Linked DNA regions of Sus scrofa. The main gene of each other region encodes a partner of the protein of the gene in region 2 in a complex. Links are inferred from orthologs where the notes say so. Each region holds a gene or a part of one and is shown on either strand. Other genes may lie near its edges.

Region 1 (4,196 bases), on a different chromosome or scaffold from region 2:
AAAAAAAAAAACAAAAAACAGAGACAATAGTGCAACCTTGGGGCAGGTCCAGATTCCTCCTCAAGGAATATACATAGTATCTTTGAGCCCTTCTGCAGAACTATTACTTGATGAAGTATGAAGCATTCTTCAGTGGAAAAAAGGAGGACCACCAGAACCAGTCCTGGGGCCACTAAACAGGAGCGTGAGAAACCGTGCAAGTTTGCCTCGACCCTGGTCCTTAACTGCGGCTCTATTTTCCACTCTTACACTGTAAAACCATCTCCTAATCTCTCTCAAGGGGACCATAGTCTTTAGGGCACTAACCTGCTCTGGCCCTCCTTTGGCAGAGCAATAGAGATATCTTTTTCTTCTTCACCCAAAACCCTGTCTCTGTGCTTCAACTGGGCATCGGAGGACAGAGACAGAGTTTTGGCAACACTACCTGCCTCATATCCTAGCTCCCCTCCTCGCACCGGTTTCCTCCGTGCTACCTGAGATTCTGTCTCCCGGGCCTAGGTCCTAATTTTGCTCCAAATAAAACTTAACTCTCAACTTTTAGGTGAAGGTCTCCAGCCACCCTAAATCCGGCCAGGGCTGGGTCTCCCATTCCATTACCTTTGCTAGAGTGTAATACGCCCCCCTGGGTTTTTTTTTTTTTTTTTAATTCCAAACTATTATCCTGCCGGACACTTTTCAGCCTACCACTACCAACTACCCATCCTCTTTCTCGCACCCACTCTCGCTACTCACCCAGCCGCGTGGTGCGATCTTGAGGTGCCGCCGGCCTGTCCCCGGTCCCATGCTCAGCCTCGAGCTCCTCTTGCTGCTGCCGCGCTTGTTGCAAAATCCGTCGGGTCAGCCGAGGCCCCACGTACTCCTCCTCCTCTTCTCCGGTTCCGCGACCCCGCCGCTTTTCCCGGGTCCCCGCCCGCACCGCATTCCCAGCCAGGATTTGGTCGGCCAGGGGCGCATGCTTTTCCTGACCCTCGGCCCCGCGGGCGGCCTTGAGTTTGGGCATTTCGCTAGAAAACCTCGCCGGGAAGTTTCACATGTGGGGACAGAGGAAAAGCTCTGAGTGCGCCGGCGCAGGGAACTCCCCAGAGGCCAGACGGTGATTACAGCGCCCCCTGGTGTTCGGAGGCCGGACCTGCCACCATCCCCGCCCCACCCCCTGATAGAGCTCCTGAGTCCTGGAGCTGGACTCCCGAATAAACTCATTGCAATTAACATCGCCTTCTCTAAGCAGTGGCAGTCCAAGCCACGCTTTCTTAGCTTCATGAATCTAGGCCCGGGGTGATTTGTCGAATAGGAAGTCCCCGAGCTGCAAGCCTAGGGGGCGGAGCCCTGCAGTGACGTCACTGGAGGCGCCTGTACGCCCCGTTCCTCGTGGCCGCCGAAGGGACTCGCACTTTTTACGTTATTTCCGGAGCACCTCCTACTACCGAAGCTTTCGTTAGGTCGGTGGTTTCACCTCGCGTGGGCTGCAGCAGAGCACTGCGTATCAGCTGTTCAGTACTGTCATCTTCCTGGCCTAACATCATGGGAGTGACTTGGTAGGACTTCAAGGGATTTCGTGGGGCGAAGCTTGGGGTGGTGAAGGGCCGGTGGAGCCTCCAGTGTCCCCGAGAGGAGGATCGGGATCAGGGTCTGAGAGAGATGCCCTCGAGTTGTGTGGGTGAGGGGACCACTGTGAGGGCTGCGAAATCTGCGGGCCTTTTTCCTCGGAGATGCGCCCCTTCTTTCTCAAAGGTGGCAGGTTAAAAATTTTTATCTTAAGAATCCACCAGTGGTCGCGTACCTCCTTCCGTTTTTCTTGGTATATTCTTCCTGCTCGTCATCCCACAGTACTGCCTGGGGTCGGAAATAGTATGTCGGGTTTAGGACCCATCTGCAGTCAAGGTTGGATGGGTTGTGGGGAGGGAGATAGACAACATTGAAGGCAGTATCTTTTTTAGGTTTTTGCCCTTCCCTATGGCCACTAAATGCAGTTAGACCAGCCTGTGTCTAGTTCTAATTTGGCCATTTTAAGATCTCGGGTCTAGAGGGGGAAAAAAAGAAGCTATTGGGAGTTAGGAGATTGGGATGTTAGGCACATCACCTCCTCAGAACCTGTTTCCTACTATGTTTAATTACATGCTTGGTTTAGTTTCTGTGGACTTAATATCTGTAACGTGTTATGAGTCAGAGTGCAGGGAAATATGGGCCTCATGCTCTTGGAGGCATTAGTTCCAAAATGCTAGATTTCAGGGCTTAAAAGAAAAAAAAAAAAAAAGGTATCTGGAGCATCTTTCCAATCAGAGAGGGCTAGAGGCCAGGGTATCAGGAGTCAGTGGCTATAGAGTCTTCATATAAGAAAAGAGCCTGTGGGAATTCTTCCTCCCAGTCACCCAAGTCTTGCACACTTGTCAGTGACTGCACATTTGCTTCCTGCAGTTGACATCATGAGCCTCTTTGGAAGTCTTTTAGTGTAAGGAGGATGTGAAGAATGGAGATGAAAAGTTTCCTCCGCAGAGGCATGGAATCCTGGAAGCCCCTGTTGTTTTTTTCTTTTCTTTTTTAAATTAAAATATAGTTGATTTACAACATTGTGTCAGTTTCTGCTGTGAGGCCCCTGTTGTTGTTTTTGTTTTTGTTTTTGTTTTCTTTTTTCTTTTTTTCTTTTTAGGGCTGTTCCTACAGCTTTTTTTTTTTCTTCTTCTTTTTTTCTTTTTAGGGCCGTTCCTGTGTCACATGGAAGTTCCCAGGCTAGAGGTTGAATCAGAGCTGTGGCTGCCAGCCTGTGCCACAGCAATGCCAGATCCGAGCTGCATCTGCAACCTACACTACAGCTCATGGCACCGCCAGATCCTTAACCCACTGAGCGAGGCTAGGTGATCGAACCCATATCCTCATGGATACTGGTCACATTCTTAACCCGCTGAGCCACGAGCAGAACTCCGAAGCCCCTGTTCCTTCAGTGCAGAAGGCAGACAGAGGGAAAAGGCCCTCTGTTGGGACCCTTCTCGACTTTTCAGATTCCTAGTACTTTGGACCCCAGTTGTATCATCTAAGGGATTCTCTTATTTTTCAAAATAAAGGCCATCATCATTGTGGCTTGTTAGTGCTCTTCCTGATGGAGATTACTGACAATTTGTAGCAACAGCAGGGGTCTGTTTTTATATTTTCCTTTAGTTGATCATAATTGGTCATAAAGTAATGCAGTACCTCCCAAAATTCAGCCACATAATGATTGTCTTTATGATTTTTATATAACTTCATAGCACTTGAACTATTTATTTTTTTTTAATTTTTTTTTTCTTTTTGCCATTTCTTGGGCCGCTCCCGCAGCATATGGAGGTTCCCAGGCTAGGGGTCTAATCAGATCTGTAGCCGCTGGCCTACGCCACAGCTCACGGCAACACAGGATCCTTAACCCACTGAGCAAGGGCAGGGATCGAACCCACAACCTCATGGTTCCTAGTCGGATTCGTTAACCACTGCGCCACGACAGGAACTCCTAATGCTTTCTTTTGATTCTGTTTTTTTCCTTATAAGTATTTTAACAGACAACTGTATCCTTAGGAAAGCATTCTTTTTTTTTTTTTTCCTCTTTCAGCTGCACTCGAGGCATATGGAAGTTCCCAGGCCAGGGACTGAATCTGAGTCACAGCTGTAAGCTGTGCCACAAATGTGGGAATGTCAGTTCCTTAACCCACTGCCCCAGGGCAGTATCAAACCCATGCCGTCACAGAGACAATGCTGATCCTTAACCACAGTGGGAACTTGGAAAGCTTTCGGTGGAGCATTTAAGAGCATGGACACGGAGCCACCTCACTTGACTACACTGCATTAAGCAGTATGACCTTGTGCCAGTTACTCAACCTCTCTGTTCAGTAGTTTTCTCATTTGTAATGAAGAAATGATTATGCTGTGTCTTATAGGGCTGATGCAAGTTAATTCATCTAAAGGCTTTGGGCACTGCCTGGCTCATAGTTGGTGCTTGGTAATTATTACCTACCACTTAAAGTAGAAGCCAGTTGCACTCTCCATAGAAGGAAATCTTGGAAATAACTTTTTATCTCATTGTTTTGGCTAAATTCTTGTTGCCTCTCACTCTCAAAGATTAGAAACTTGAGGCTTGCTTTCTCTTTGATCCAAGGATCCTTAGAACTTTCTTCATTGATGAAAATGTTCTATGTCACTGTCCGGTACACCAGTTCCTAGCCACTTGTGGC
Region 2 (3,943 bases):
TACAGATGAGGAAACTGAGACAGAGAGGTAAGTGATTCTCTCAAGCTTCAAACCCAAGCAGTGGGGCTCTAACTCCCAGGCTGTTAGCCGCATGACTATATTGTTTCATTTACGTTTCGTTCGTAATATCACAACTTTCAAGCGGCTGAGTCCTATCGCAGATCTAACTCCCAGGCCCACGGGTTTGCGCTGCACCCCAGTGGCCTTGTAGAATAAAGGAGAAGATCTAGGAATTTTTGCAACACTTCTAAGGAATTCAAACGGATTTCAACGTAATTCCCAGATTTGTTATGTGAACCCTGTAAATTCCCCGGGAAGAAGTAAGATAGGGCCAGGGCCCTGGGTCATCTCACGGTGGCCGGGGCACCCAGCAGATGGCGCTATCTTAGTAGCCACCAGCTGGCTGCCCAGTCCCCCTGGGCTCACCGCCTCTGCTGAAAGCTTCCCGGCTCTCCTTCGCTCCCTTCTCTCTCCCCCTCCCCACGGAGCCCGGGCGCACGTGACCTCCAGGCGGCCAATGGGCGAGCAGAGAGGGCGAGCTGGTCCCTGTGGCCGCCATTAAAGCGAAGGGAAAACCCGTGAATTCGGATTAAAGGGGGAAAAACACCGCCCGCTGGGCCCACAAAATGGGGGAGACTACGGCGTCCCGGCGGTGAGGCCGCAGGAGAGCGGACGTTAGGCCGGCTTGGCCCAGGGACGACACGAAGACACAGCCAGAGAATGGTCTGAGCCCGCAGACGCCGCCACCACCTCCGCCACTGAGGAGACTCTGGGCTTAAGGACATCGCCGCTGCCGGGTCGGGGGCCTGGGCTTCTCTCCCGGTTCTCGCCCTTCCCGCCCCTCTGCGGGCGCCTCCCCGCCCGGGAGAGCCCTCCAGGGCCTGGGATCTGCCCTCTCGGACTCGATTTTAATTATTTATTGTGTAATTTATTATATTTTCTTGTGGCAGGGGCACACATCCCCTCTGTCCCCGAGAGGGACGGGCGTCCGCGGGCTCCGCGGCGGCCGCAGTCCGGCCCGCGGGGCGAGCGCGGCGCGGCCCTCCCGCCTCCGGCTCTCGGCCCCGGGCGGCTGGGTGCCGGCCGGGCGGCGGGGACTGCTCGCGGCGGCGGGGGGGTGGGTGGGGAGGGCGGGCGGCCCGGCGGCCTCCTCTTCCACCGCCCCCCAACCACCACCCCCCCGCCCTCCCCGGTGTCTGTGTTTCTCTCTCTGGTCGGAGGCGGCGGTAATGGCGGATGGTGGGTTGTGGCGCCGGCGACGGCTGCTGTGAGGGACGATGAGTTCCTCCTTCGTGCCGAACGGGGCCAGCCTGGAAGATTGTCACTGTAACCTCTTCTGCCTGGTGAGTGCGGGGCGGGGGCCACGGCGAGCGGGCGTTGGGGGAGGGGCCGCGAGGTGCGCCCTTGGGCCGTGGGGGAGGGGGTCCGGGTCGGTTCCAGATGCCGGAGTCCCCGGGCTAGGCCCAGCCGGAGCCGGAGCCGGCGCGGCGGCCAGCTCGGCACCAGCCCGGCGGCCGCGGTCCTCTCCGGCGGTCCCGGGCGCTGTGTTTCGAGTGTCGGCCCTTTTTCTCGTTTCTGACTCTTTTTCCCCCTCCTCTGGTAGTCTGGTCTTTAACTTGGGCTCCTTATCCGGCAGGACACTAGCCTTTCCCTCTGTTTCTTGCTTAACTGTTGCTCTCCTCCTCATGGACCGTGTATCCCTTCTTCACACTTACCCATTATTGCCCGTTCTCCTTCTGTCTCACTCTGCTCATCTGGTTTCCCCCCAAAAAGCGGACCCCGGAACTTAAGCACTCTTTTCGTTGTCCATTTTTTATTGTGAGTCAAACTATATAGGGGGGTTGGTTTCTTCCTTGCGCGACTTCAGGCTCTGTGTAAAAAGGAGTAGATGCCATTTCATATGTTTTTTCTTCAAACTTTGAAAACAACTTGCCATTTTGACAATTTTTAGCCATTTTGCTTTTATTAGAACATTATGTTTGTGAGAGTGGAGCGAACCAGAGGAGGAGGTGCTGTGGTTTTGCACTAAATATTTTTGTATTTGTCTAATTTGCCTTCGTTTTTAGCATATTTTGAGGGGGCTGTTCCTTTTTTTATTGGAAAGTCAGGGAAAGCTAGATTTAGGGATGATAATTGTGTACGTTGGCCCAGATCTGGGAACATCCAATAAAGACTTTCAAAAGTACCAACTGTTGCAAATATTTAGTTTTCAATTGGATAGTAACTTAGCTTCATCAGTGATTTAAAGTTTAGGTGACTTTCTTTTTTCATTTTCCCTATCCTATGAGAAATATTAAGAGAGTGTGTGATAGGTAAGTGAATTGAGTGGGCGGAGCACAACTAGTTGGCCAGTGTAAACTGCCAGTCATGTATCAGCAGTTTCATTTTTGGCACCTTGCGCTTTGCACCTTTAAGTTAGATTCAGAATTACAAGTTCGCTCTAATGAATTTCTTTTCACGATGCTAAACTGAGATCTTTAATTTTTATCTAAAAAATAAAATGTTTTCTTGTACAGTGTCCATTAATTTGCATCTCTTGAGCTGTAAGAAGACAGCGGGTTTTACATTTCTGTCTTCTCCAACTCAGTCTATTTTTGGTACTTTTAGGATCAGGTTCTTTGAAGATAAGACTAGCACAAATCTGACGGTTCTTTGTCAGCAGCTATTTGACTTTTCCTAAAAGGAATATGTAAAGATTTAACAAGATTTTTTTTTCAGTTGTAGTTCAGGTTTCTTTTCGTTAGAGCCATGACTTCTATAAACATGGAATGATGAGTCTTTAAAAATTAATTTTCTGTTATAAGTTTGTCACCAAGGAACAAATGTAACCAGTCAGAACAGAAGTTAGGACAGAGAGCAAATGTTTACTCAGTGTGCAATGTTAAAGTACATGTTTATGTTTAATATTAAGCTTCTTTTATTTCTCCTTGGGACACATTTATTGACTTGTTATTTAGTGACATGTCAGTGTTAATTTTTAAATTGTTTTTGTTCTTTTCCTTTGATTTTTGGTTATTGAATTATCAGAACTAATAAACATTTTTGGGGTCAATCTGCTTTCGATATCCTGAGCATACATTAAAAATTGTAATGACTTAATGAAGAGACTTTAAAGCAAGTGCTTTTGATTTTGAGTGAATATGCCCTAATAAAAAAATCATACTTTGTTTTCTTCAGGCTGACTTGACGGGAATTAAGTGGAAAAGATATGTATGGCAAGGCCCAACTTCTGCCCCTATTCTGTTTCCGGTGACAGAGGAAGACCCCATTTTGAGCAGTTTTAGTCGCTGCCTTAAGGCAGATGTGCTTGGTGTTTGGCGGCGAGATCAAAGACCTGGAAGAAGAGAATTGTGGATATTTTGGTGGGGTGAAGACCCCAATTTTGCTGACCTTATTCACCATGACTTGTCAGGTGAAAGCAACTTACATTTCTAACTAATGATGTAGCCATGTATACTCTTCCCAAAAACGTTTGTATTACAAATTAAGATTGAGGGGGGGTGGAACATTGTTGGGTATGAAACCAGATAAAATTTCAGCTTCATGTTTCATTTCACTGGTTATTTTATTTTACTCAGAATTATGCTTATTATGGCAGGCTTTTTAAGGCTTTAAAAACTTTATTCTTTATTCTTTTTAGCTTTCTCATGAATTTTTGGCAGACAGGGCCTAAGGAAGGCATGCTACATTAATTACCCTAAAAATGTAACCAGGGGAACATTACCTAACAAAGTCATAAAATACTTTTGAAGCCAAGTTTAATTCATCTTTGAGTCATTTCTGCCACTGCTTTCTTCTGTATGAATATGCAGACCGTTGTAGAAGTATCTAGAAGTGTTGTAATTTTCTCATATTTTTTTTTAGGCATATAGTAATTTTTTAAATTTGCAATTCTTAAAAAATTAACATATGAAGGCATTTGTTAATTTTGTTATCCTTGGAA
Region 3 (4,176 bases), on a different chromosome or scaffold from region 2:
ACCCACCTTTTCCACGTGCAGGGCCAGCTTCACACCATTGTGCAGCCAGGACAAGGCCACGATGGGGTCCCCCTCCACCAGGCTGCCCACTGGGCTCTCCCAGCTGTTGGCCAGGTGGTCTGCCATGGTCCAGCACTTGATCTGCCCATCAGCATCGGCCGACAGCAGCCGGGAGCCTGCAGGGGAAGAGGGGGGCAAGCCTGTGTCACAAAGCACCCCCCCCAGTACATCTGGGGCCTGGGATGGGAGACAAGCAGGGGCATGGCACACATGTCTCCCAGGAACGACTCTGGTCACCAAAAATGGGAGGAGAAGGAGCCGAAAAGCCACAAGGCCAGGGCTTTCATCCTAGTTCTGGACAGTGGGGACATGACCAGGAAAAGACAGAACAAGTAAGCTTGGGATTTGAGATCAAGGGTGAGCCCCACCCTCACCTGACTGGTCCCACTCGAGGCAGGTGATGGCCTCGCTGTGCTCCGAGTTGATGGAGTGCACGTCCCAGGGGTGCTCCGTATCCAGGATGTGGATCATGCGGGTCAGGTCTGCAAAGGAGGGCCAGGTCAGCGGCAACAATGGCAGGGCCTCGAGTGCCTGATGACCCCAGGGGTAATGGGAGCAGGTCCATGACTCTGCCTCCAGAGAGGCTACAACCACTTTCAAAAGAGACATAGAAAATGGAACTGGAAAAAAACAAACCCAAAATGCTAACAGAGAGTGGCTCTCTGGGGAAGGTAATGCCTTTTTTTCTTCCCCTCATCCAAAATGTCTGTGTTTTTCTCCTTTCCTCTAGGAGCATGTGTCATTCAACAATAGCGAGAACACAGGCCCAGCAGGCAGGCTGCAGCTCAGAGGCTTTCAGAAGCCAAGCAGTGACATATAAGGTCTGGAAAACTCAGGCAGGAGCCTCAGCAGGGGCTGGGGACCACCCTCATCTGGACAGGTCCATCCCCTGGGGGTGATTCCAGTGCCCCCTGGTGCCAGGTGCCCTCTGGGCCCTCACCACCCCTCATCACACATGAGGGAACCCTGAGAGACTGGACAGGCCTGGAGGTCCATGGGCACTGGGGCACGAGCCCATGCGGGGGGCAGGAGGGGGCGCACCCTGGTCGTCGTTTCGGAGATCCGTGGTAAAGGCGATGAGGTTGCGGCAGGACCAGGCACAGGCCAGGGGCACCGAAGGGCAGTGCGTGCTCTTGGGCCATTTCTCCCACTCACAGACGTACGCCAGGTCCATGGTGCCCGGCTGCCAAGGTCATACACAGAGGGCGGTCACCAGCTTCTGAGGGAGGGAGGACCAGTTTGTCACAGACGTTCATGCAGGGCCTCAGGGCCCAGAGCGCAGTGCTGGATGGTGGGTCACTGCAGGGACCCAAAGACTCAATCCCTGCTCTGTGTATGTCAGGGGAGCTATATCTGACACATGGATGGCCAGGGAGGCCTCCCAGCGTAGAAGTGAGGGATCCAGGAATGCAGCCTGGAGGAAGGATATCCCAGGCAGGGGGAACAGCCAGTGCAAAGGCCCAGAAGCTGGACCAAGCCCAGGGTCATCAAGGAGCGGCAGGGGGCCCATGTTGCTGGAACTGAGTGAGAGGAAGGGAGGGGTAAAGTGAGGGTGGGGTGGGTCATGCAGGGCCTGCGCTTTCACCCTGAGTGAGGTGGGAGCCCCAGGGGAGCTGAGACCTTCTTATGTTTCACACACCCCTCTGGCTGTCTGGAGAGAAAGGCTTAGGGACAGGGTGGGGGTGACCATGCCAGTCCAGGTGAACAATGATGGGGACCATGAAGCAGTGAGGAGAGGTGGGACTGCTCTATCCTTAGAGAAGCCTTTGGCAGAGGCAAGGAGGCAGGATGGGGGGCAGGCAGCAGCTTGGTGCAGCACTTCAAAGGTAACAACCGCAACGGAAACAATGAACATTTCCACCTGCTGTCTATGTGCCGGGCATTGATTACGGTTATTTTCACCGTTACCAGAACCCAATGAGACTGTATGACCAACCCATCTTTCTCAATCACTTCCCCCAGGCCTCCCGCTTCCTCAAGCCTTGGCCAGGAACCCCAAGGCCCTGCCCAGAGGCCCCTTCAGCAGTCTTTAAGCTCTGCCCTCAAAGCTCTCCAGCCCCGCCCCCTACAATATTTGCTTTCCAGACCCCAGTCCCAATTTGCCCCTTGTGTTCCCAGGGATAGCTTAAATTTGTTCTCTCCCCAGGGTCTCCCAAACAACTCGCCTCCCTATAACCACCTCCAAATTCCCAACCCTCCAAGTCCCGCCTCTTTTTGCCACTTCAGGCTCCACCCCAGGGACCACTACCCAATAGCCAGGTGCTGGTCTCCAGTGGCCGCCTTCCAGCCCACCAGAATCCCCAGGCCCCTCCCCAGGAAAATACAGCCTTAGACCTCCCAACCCCTGATCAGGTTCCAGGCCCAGCCCCGATTTTCCCCAGCTCGGAGTGCCCGGATTCCCAGACGCCTCAGACTTTCCCCCAAGTTTCCGTCGCGACCCCCCCCCCCCGCCCAACGTGCTCCCGGGCGCGTACCCAGCACCCCTTGCTCTCCAGGCCCGCCCTCTAACCCTACAGGCCCCGCCCCCGGCCCGCTAGTCGCCGCCGCGGCCGTAGGCACCGTCCTGAGGCCGGCCCAACGCCCAAGTCCCCAGTCCCCGCTCACCGGGACGGCCTGTTCTCCCAGCCGAGCGGACGGCCACGGCCTGCACTCCACCTATCGGCGCGGCTACGGCACCGCCATCTTCCCCGGATCAACGAGTCGCCCACGTAGCGCGGCCGTTTCCCGGAGACTTCTGGGACAGCAGCGGCTCCGGCCCCGCCCCACTACCGATATAATTTGCATACATACATTGATAGTTTCCCAACAGCCACCCGAATTATATTTCGTGAAAGAACACTTTCTCAACTTCAGTGAGTAGCCTCATTCTGTTAAGCTATTGTTGCACTGATATCAGAAAAGAAGAGACAAGTTACTGAGTATTTTTCTTCTAAACGGAATTCACCCTTAGCGTAAAGTATTTTATACTCCGCCCTATAAATAGCGGTCGGGTTAACCCCGGTGTCGTGCTCGCTTCGGCAGCACATATACTAAAATTGGAACGATACAGAGAAGATTAGCATGGCCCCTGCGCAAGGATGACACGCAAATTCGTGAAGCGTTCCATATTTTGCTTTTCCTTGCTTCTTTTCCCCGTAAGCAAGACGGCTTAACCAGTCGTGGGCTTCTCTGGATTCACTCGTCTCCCGCTATCAAAAGCTGGTTCTTTTTCTGTCGGGCTCTCCCCAGTTGGGAAAGTCTTTTCTAGGAAGACCTCCTGATATTTCGGGGAAGGTGTACTGGGCTGCAGTTAGCGCCTGGGCAAAGGTATGGGGGCCGGGCTCAGGGAATCGGAGTGGGAAGAAAACAGCCAGCTAGGGGCAGCCGCAGGACCGAGTCTGTGTGTCAGTGCAGGAGGCCTGTGGAGTCCCCTAGAGCCACCACACCCGCGCCCTGAAGTCCAGACTGGCCTCCAGGCACCAGAAATTCGGTCCCCTTCACAGGTGGGAGCCTCCAAGCTGGTTAATCCAGTATCTCCTGATGTCCTCTGAGCCATTTGGATTTCCATTATTTAGCATCTGTGTTTAAAACTTTTTAAAATGCCTGTTAAAATGGAACTCAGCACACTTAGCACCCAGTTCTTGGTTTCTAAACGTTGCCCCAGTGAAAGGAACTGGGCTCCTGGGCGAAATGCCTGGTTCTAGAAGGCAGCACAAATATGCAGAGGAGCCCGGTGCTCAAATAAATAAATACCCCGCCTCAGTGAGACAGGAATCACTGAAAGAGCTCCCAGTATCCAAACCTGGAACAATCTGAGCAACAAAATGAAAGGATATTGTGTTGTAACCCAAACAAGAAAGCGAATGTCCAGGCGTCTGTACTGATATAAACAGTTAAATAAATAAATACACAGGGGGAAAGAGACAAATGTCACCTGCAGGATTCCCAGTAATTGAGGCAGATAATCCATCTTCAGGGAAATGGAGATCAGGGTGAGGTTCAACAGTGAGGAGCCCTGTGGACAGCAGGGACCCCTGATTGGGGCCAGGTGAGAAGGGCAATCAGGATAAAAGCAGATAACCCAGGGTGACACAATTTAAAGACACTGGTAGGAGGCCGCATAAAGATGTAGGCAGA
Region 4 (3,291 bases), on a different chromosome or scaffold from region 2:
ACCAACGCGGGAGCCGAGGGCCCCAGCCTCCCACTCAAGGCTGCCCACAGGCCTAACCGCGTCCCTAGCTGCCGTGGTTTCAGACGACAGACGGCACTTCCTGGGCACCTCCTGGACGCTGGGCGCTGAGGCCCACCCGCCCCCACGTGGCTTCCCGCGGCTCGTGCTCCGGAGGAGACGCCAAAGCCAGGCCCTGTCTAGGACCTGACCGAGGCCACCGGGTTAACAGGGGCGCCGTTCGGTCCGACCGTTCCACGCCTGGCTAAGCCTCCTCGACAGAACCGCCTGGCGCTTTGCAGGCCAGCAACCCCCCAGGCCAACGTCTCCCGAGCAGCAGAGGCTGGCGCTGTGCTCCTGCCGCCGCGGCCCCGGGGCCACCACCCCCATGCAGGGCTGCGGGCGGCCGTACCTGATAGTCTGAGGTCATGATGAGTCCGCCTGAGGTAGTGGTAGGAGGAACAACCCGCACTTTCTTCAACGGGGGGCCCTGCGTGTGGCTGCTGTCCTGGTTCCCGGGGTGGCCAGTCCCATTAGTGTGGTTATTGCCCTGCTGCTGCTGCTGGTTCTTCTCAATTTGGTGAAACGGAAAGAGAGAGAGCAACTCAGAGGGGAGCAAACCGCGGCCGCGGCCGCAGAAGGCAGGCGGCACCCCAGCAGAAACGCACGAAGCCGCCCCGCACCCTGACACTTACTTTGTCTCCTTTGTCCTCGGGCTCTTCCTCCGTTAAAAACTCTCTTTTAGGGTACGGGATCTGACAACCGGCAAAAACGCTGACCCAGGAAAGAGAAGAGACAACAACGATTTCCGGCGCGCTGATCAGCGTCTCAAACGCGCTTTCACCGTTCAGACAGCCTCCGCCTCCCTGCCGGTGCAGCCGCGAGGCAGTGCGTGTCTTCTCCCAACCAGTGACTGAACAAAAGCACCGGCACCCCCAGGCACCATCCAAAGGGCCTCGGCTCTCCTTTATGTCGGCACTGCTCCTTCAGCACCACAACCAAGGCAGAGATCGCAGCTGGAATGTCATGACTCAACAAAACTGCATTCTACCCTCCAGACTGCATCCAAAATGCACGAAATGGGAGATCCCACCGTGGCTCGGTGGTTAACCACCCCGACTAGGATCCATGAGGACACGGGTTCAATCCCCGGCCTCGCTCAGTGGGTTAAGGATCTGGCGTTGCTGTGAGCTGTGGTGTAGGTTGCAGATGTGGCTCGGATCCCATGTTGCTGTGGCTGTGGTGCAGGCTGGCAGCTACAGCTCCGACTGGACCCCTAGCCTGGGAACTTCCGTATGCTGCAGGTGCGGCCCTAGAAAAGGCAAAAAGACGGAAAAAAAAAAAAAAAAAAAGAAGGAATGTATGGGGACCACACACTTCTTTGGGGTGGGGCTTGCAACTGGGACACAGAACTAAGTGCAAGCAGTGCGCCGGCTCAGAGCCCCAGGGAGTGCCAGTGCGTGGGAGCAGCCCGCCCTCGACTACCGCCGCCACCGGCCGCGGGCAGCAAGCAGGGCAGCAGCGTCTCTCCGCTGTAAAAGCCTGACGGCTCTCAGTCACCAGCTCGTTTTCTGCTTGTCATAAGGATTTCTTTGAGTCCCCGAACAAGAGCAGCAGCAACCTGGCATTGACAGCTAAAAAAAAGCACGCACCAAGAGCTAGCTCCCTGGCGGCACAGTGGGCTGAGGATGCAGTGCCCGCGCTGCTGTGGCATGGGTTTGAGCCTGGGCCCAGGAATTTTCATATGCCACAGAAGTGGCTTTAAAAAAGAAAAAAAAAAAAAGCACGCACCAAAAAATTCTATTGTGCTGGTGAGTTAATAAACTGATCACTTACTCTGATGTAGGAAGTGGGTCTTCTAAGAAATAGGGATCCTGCATAGCCTGTTCTGAGGTAATTCGCTTTATTGGGTCCATGGTAAGCAATTTCTGAAGCTGAAACCATAAATCATAAAAACATCACTGCATTACTTCTCAAAGTTTTACCTTTTGGCACATTTGTGGGAGGTACACGGTTTTTGATCAATAACACCACAGTTCAGAGGGTTTCATTCCCCCCAGTTAAAAACTAAAAACCTTTCAATTTCATGTAGTCATTCACACGAGTCATTTTAATAATCATCAGCTCACCCGGTTCTCCTATAAGAAGTAACTAAACATACGTCTTCTTACTCTCAACCAAGACCTTTTTCCTACACCATCTGAACTGCCACGTCCAATTTAGAACAGGACCAAAATGCCTGTGTTTTCTACTAAGGGGAAAACATTATACCCCAAAGAATAAACTAGCTACATGTGGCTATTTAGAGTTAAAACCAAATTAATTAAAACCAAGTTAAATTTAAAAAGTCAATTTTTCAGAGTTCCCATGTGGCGCAGTGGAAACAAACCCAACTAGTAGCCATAAGGACACAGGTTCAATCCCTGGCCTTGCTCAGTGGGTGAAGGATCCGGCGTTGCCGTGAGCTGTGGTGTAGGTCGCAGACGCAGCTCGGATCCCGAGATGATGTGGCTGTGGTGGAGGCCGGCGGCTACAGCTCTTATTCAACCCCTAGCCTGGGAACTTCCATAAGCCGCAGTTGTGGCCCTAGAAAAAAATTTTTTTCTTAATTAAAAAAAAAAAAAAAAAGTCAATTTCTCAGTCATATCAGGTGTATTTCCAGAGCTCAGCGGCTACCCTCCCAACAGCACGGCTCTCAGACAGCCATCTCTGGCACTGCCGCCCGGGGCTATGTAAACACGGCACCCGGTACAGAACCTGTGCAGCAAGGCCAGGTGCTATCGGCGGGGACTCTGCAGAGACGCTGCTTGGCCTCAAATCCTGACCTGACATTTATGAGTCGGGTGACTGTGAACAAATTACTTAAGCCCTCTGTAACCCCATTTGCCAAATGGAGCTTAGAAACAGTACCTTTTATCATGTTTCTTTTCAGAATGACGAAAAGCAATTACAGTGGTGCCAGGCGTGGGGAACGCGCTCTCTAGGTGTTGGTATTATTACTGTTGTTGTAATGAGATACCGAAAGGTGAAACTAATGTCAAAATTCAGCACTTTTTCGTTGAAATATGAGGGACTGAGGATTCTAGGAACGAGAGCCTTTAACGTGTGACTTAAGAGGCCCTCTAACAGGTGCGCCCTCAGCCCACCACCTCTGGCCTAACACGCAGCACTTTCAGACTTGAAGCACATCGGAGGCGTCCCCGGAGCACTTCCTAGTGACTCCGGAGCTGCTGAGCAGCACATCTGGGCAGGAGCCAAGCACCTGCACTTGCAGCGTTGCCCAGGTGACTGCGG
Region 5 (3,511 bases), on a different chromosome or scaffold from region 2:
CTTTTTTTATTTTATGATTTTTATTTTTTCCATTACAGTTGATTTACTCATTCAGCTTTAAAATGAGAATAACAGGAGTTCCCGTTGTAGCTCAGCAGTAACAAACCCAGCTAGTATCCATAAGGATGCAGGTTCGATCCCTGGCCTTGCTTGGTGGGTTAAGGATCCAGTGTTGCCATGAGCTGTGGTGTAGGTCACAGACGCAGCTTGGATCCCGTGGTGCTGTGGCTGTGGCCTAGGCCAGCAGCTGTAGCTCTGATTTGACCCCTAGCCTGGGAACCTCCGTATGCTTTGGGTGTGGCCCTAAAAAAAAAAAAGACAAAAAAATGATAACAATACCTCAACGAGGCAGTTGTGAGGATCAAATAATAATAATAATAATAATAAAATGATGTGAGAGTGCTTGGTAAATAAACTATGAAGCGCTAAGCAAATCCTACCCTCATCACTGGGTAAAGGATCCTCAGATTACTTCAGGAGCCAGGAAGAGGGGACTGTACAGGAAGAAACAATCTAGGGTGAGGAAAAGCCAGCTCACCTCCAGCTTGCTGCTGCTGCTGCCCTCAGCCTCCTTGCGCTCAGGGTCATCAGCAGGGTCATCAAAGGGAGAGGGAGGCCGGGGACCAGGGGCTCCAAAGGCAAGGTCCCCTCGGGAGATGAGGGTGCAAGTGTACATGTTGTGGGAGAAAACATCGTGTCGAATCAGTTCACAGAAGAGCAGTACCAAGTTAAAGAATTCCACCCGCTCACTCTCACTTCGGGGGTCCGCTGGAGGGAGGGAATGAGAAAAGATGAGTAAGGGAGCATGGAAGACATGGGCAGAAAGCGAGAGGGACACATCTAAGGTAAGATGCTCCTAGGGTACCTGAAATAGGCAGGAATAGGAATGACTCAAAACCCCCCAACGCCCCCCAAACTGTTGAGGGACAAAGTATGCTTGGTTATCCTACCTCCTGCCCCCCCATCTAATAAAGGAACACAGCATTTCTGCTATTTATACATGAAAACGCTCCGATCCTAAGCACTTGTTTTTATTCTACTCTTTATTTCTCTACTCTGTTAAACTGTAAGATGATCAAAGACTAGAATTATGTCCAAAGACATTCTGCATAGAGCTCAAGCTAAGATTATATCTCAGAAGGCCTTTCATTATGCTTTCTGATGACAGGGGTGGGTAAGGGAGTCTAGGCAGAGGTAACCAGAAAGTAGCAGGGGTCCATACTCAGCATGGGAGCCTGTGTGTCCAGAAACTGCAGGAGGACATCCTGGAAAATGGGAGCACTGGGTGCAGAAAGGGAGCCAGAGGCAATGGAACCCTTCTCATCTGCGGCTTCTGATTCTCCACAACGCTATAAAATGAGAGGACAAACCATAGGGCTGGGTTTTATCTGTTTCTTCACTCATCCACGTACAATCCTTGAACAACTGCCTATCTCCACGTCCCCCTGTTGACTCCCATTTTCTTTTCTTTCTTTGTTTTTAGTCTTTTTAGGGCTACACCTGTGGCATATGGAGGTTTCCAGGCTAGGCATCTAATCGGAGCTGTAGCCGCCAGCCCACACCACAGCCACAGCAACGCAGGATCCAAGCCGTGTCTGTGACCCACACCACAGCTCACGGCAACGCCAGATTCTTAACCCACTGAGTGAGGCCAGGGATGGAACCCAAGTCCTCATGGACACGAGTCGGGTGCCTTAGCACTGAGCCACGATGAGAACTCCTTGACTCCTATTTTCTTTAGCGCCTCCAACTGCAGCCTTGATCACTTCTCTAACTCTGACACTGATCCACTCATTTCTATTTTTGCCTCATGTCCTCCACTTTCCCTGTACGTTCTCTAACCACTTCTTACTCTCACACCTTCAACATTGGTCCCACTATCAGCTCAATCTGGCTCCAGGCCCAGCTGCCACTCCCTGCCGGGCCCCCTAACCTCAGCCTCGATCTCTGCCTGTCTCTTCTCCAGCAGCTTGGCTACCACCATAGCGCGATGCCGACCAGAACGCTTGCAGCTGACAGCCCATTCACACAGTAATGATACCACAGCATCATCATCTGAGGAGATCTGGAGACCAAAGGAAGACGGAGGTGAGTAAGGCAGAGTTGGGGACAAAAAACTGAGTTCCAATTTCCCAGCGATTGGGCCCCATCTTAAAACATTCTAGGCCCAGTAAGACCATCTGTCTCTTCAGACATCCTCTAGTTTTAGTGCCTCACCCCTCCTTCCCGTCAAATGTACTGGTGCTCTTGCTGTTTTTCCCTCCTCTTCCCCGTCTTGCTTATTACCTCGTGTCCATCCTTGCTGGGCCCCAATCCAAAAATTCGGTTACAGAGGGAGTCAAGAGAGTTGCTGAAGTCAGAGCGCTCAAAACTATGGCTGTCCAGCACTTCCAAAGTATGGAGCACCCGTCCAATGGTGAAGCCTAAAGAGGAAAAGCGGTAAAGGGGACTTAACCAGAGGCTTACTCTGACTCTCAGATCTATATGTCATTACCATCCCCACCCTTTCCTCAAACACCCTTCTTACTGCCTGTCCTCTGGCACCCACCTGCAGTAGCTTCCTGGCACTTATCAAAAGACCAGCGAACCTCAACGGCCTGTCCTCGCTCCTTGATCTGCTGCTCGATCTCCCGCAACTTTGCACGGACCTGCCAAAAGGAAGGTTTTAAGGATGGAGCAAAGCATACAAAAAGGCTAGGGCTCCAGGCTAAAAGCATAGTAGTAGGCTCCAAGTCACTAGTTCTGAAAGAGTAACTTCAGCCTCTATATCCAAACCTGCGGTAAGCAGGCTACTGGTCCAACTTACCTGCTGAGTGAAGGCACTGTTGCCCTCTGGCATGGGCAGGTTGGAGGGGGCAATAGGCAGGTGATCGAGTGGTGAGCCAGTCTTGATTCGGCTATCAGTCAGCGAGTAGTGCCAAACCAGGGCACTAGGACAACACAGGAGGATGGTCTGCCAGACAGGAACAGCTAAGTCAAACTCGGTTACCATGGCTACCTTTCCAGAAGCCCATCATAAGACCCAATGCTTCGATTTCCAATCCAAAGTTATTCTGAGTCCCTAGGGTGGCATCACTCCATCTCTGAGCCCCTCCCCTCATCCACTCTCCTCCAAAGGCTTTGGGCCTACTATGTAGACCTGGAAGGGAACTACCTGAAAAGGAACTATCGCCCCATGAATGAGCAGCCAACAATTTCCAAGCAAGTACTCAGTGCCTACTCTCACCTCCAATTTAGAATCCCCCTATTTTCCAGGACAGGCACCTAATTCTTCTCAAGAGGTCTCTTAATACTTCCATAGGCCCACCGAGTACCTACCTGAAGGATACAGCTGAGGCCAAAAACCAGGGGTCGGTGCTGAGGACACATAAGCAGGTCACTAAAGGGTGTAGAGGGTGTGCTGCTAGTTGGGGGCTGAGGAGCAGGGGTGGTGGGTAGTGTGCTTGTTGACTGAGCAGACATCACATGAGACGAGTGACTGCTCACACCATCCAGCTGCAGGGCCAGTCTC

Evidence for each region.
Region 1: MED13 (region 2) and MED20 share a complex: the UniProt entries of both Homo sapiens proteins name them as parts of the mediator complex. The link is inferred for Sus scrofa from reciprocal best matches to the Homo sapiens genes MED13 and MED20.
Region 3: MED13 (region 2) and MED16 share a complex: the UniProt entries of both Homo sapiens proteins name them as parts of the mediator complex. The link is inferred for Sus scrofa from reciprocal best matches to the Homo sapiens genes MED13 and MED16.
Region 4: the proteins of MED13 (region 2) and CDK8 are in contact, whole or in part, in a cryo-EM structure (PDB 8TQC), measured with the Homo sapiens proteins. The link is inferred for Sus scrofa from reciprocal best matches to the Homo sapiens genes MED13 and CDK8. Residues at the interface, in NP_005112.2 of Homo sapiens: Thr1616, Met1617, Asp1618, Arg1619, Lys1621, Val1622, Gly1623, Ile1624, Pro1625, Thr1626, Asp1627, Gly1628, Asp1629, Ser1630, Val1732, Lys1733, Thr1734, Leu1735, Thr1736, Gly1737, Phe1738; in NP_001251.1 of Homo sapiens: Leu9, Glu12, Arg13, Arg71, Lys74, His75, Pro76, Leu81, Gln82, Lys83, Val84, Tyr133, Asp137, His140, Tyr141, Met330, Gln331, Phe335, Leu336, Leu340, Pro341, Thr342, Ser343, Asp344.
Region 5: the proteins of MED13 (region 2) and MED12 are in contact, whole or in part, in a cryo-EM structure (PDB 8TQC), measured with the Homo sapiens proteins. The link is inferred for Sus scrofa from reciprocal best matches to the Homo sapiens genes MED13 and MED12. Residues at the interface, in NP_005112.2 of Homo sapiens: Ser157, Glu158, Thr336, Val337, Pro339, Gln340, Ser341, Gln343, Lys344, Trp345, Lys347, Phe348, Asp1186, Ile1189, Leu1190, Gln1193, Asp1194, Pro1332, Ile1333, Thr1335, Leu1337, Tyr1340, Asp1341, Tyr1342, Asp1343, Tyr1344, Leu1345, Val1346, Leu1347, Ser1348; in NP_005111.2 of Homo sapiens: Ala3, Phe4, Arg12, Pro13, Arg16, Leu86, Thr123, Thr127, Thr150, Pro152, Val153, Met154, Arg155, Phe242, Pro278, Leu281, Arg282, Arg356, Pro357, Phe360, Gly361, Cys364, Gln367, Thr368, Cys372, Pro407, Glu408, Phe413, Val417, Lys1526.

Annotation. Positions count from the first base shown.
Region 1 is NC_010449.5:37,071,346-37,075,541, reverse strand, and holds the start of MED20 (mediator of RNA polymerase II transcription subunit 20), read left to right. Parts: upstream 1-1,391; 5' UTR 1,392-1,521; coding exon 1,522-1,535; intron 1,536-4,196. UniProt on the Homo sapiens protein: Component of the Mediator complex, a coactivator involved in the regulated transcription of nearly all RNA polymerase II-dependent genes.
Region 2 is NC_010454.4:36,332,604-36,336,546, forward strand, and holds the start of MED13 (mediator of RNA polymerase II transcription subunit 13), read left to right. Parts: upstream 1-1,137; 5' UTR 1,138-1,277; coding exon 1,278-1,343; intron 1,344-3,177; coding exon 3,178-3,412; intron 3,413-3,943. UniProt on the Homo sapiens protein: Component of the Mediator complex, a coactivator involved in the regulated transcription of nearly all RNA polymerase II-dependent genes.
Region 3 is NC_010444.4:77,489,585-77,493,760, reverse strand, and holds the start of MED16 (mediator of RNA polymerase II transcription subunit 16), read right to left. Parts: upstream 2,809-4,176; 5' UTR 2,665-2,808; intron 1,280-2,664; 5' UTR 1,235-1,279; coding exon 1,102-1,234; intron 543-1,101; coding exon 435-542; intron 177-434; coding exon 7-176; intron 1-6. UniProt on the Homo sapiens protein: Component of the Mediator complex, a coactivator involved in the regulated transcription of nearly all RNA polymerase II-dependent genes.
Region 4 is NC_010453.5:4,155,436-4,158,726, reverse strand, and holds part of CDK8 (cyclin-dependent kinase 8), read right to left. Parts: intron 1,932-3,291; coding exon 1,834-1,931; intron 772-1,833; coding exon 693-771; intron 569-692; coding exon 410-568; intron 1-409.
Region 5 is NC_010461.5:57,153,876-57,157,386, reverse strand, and holds part of MED12 (mediator of RNA polymerase II transcription subunit 12), read right to left. Parts: coding exon 3,319-3,511; intron 2,954-3,318; coding exon 2,807-2,953; intron 2,649-2,806; coding exon 2,549-2,648; intron 2,424-2,548; coding exon 2,287-2,423; intron 2,066-2,286; coding exon 1,934-2,065; intron 1,350-1,933; coding exon 1,223-1,349; intron 769-1,222; coding exon 539-768; intron 1-538. UniProt on the Homo sapiens protein: Component of the Mediator complex, a coactivator involved in the regulated transcription of nearly all RNA polymerase II-dependent genes.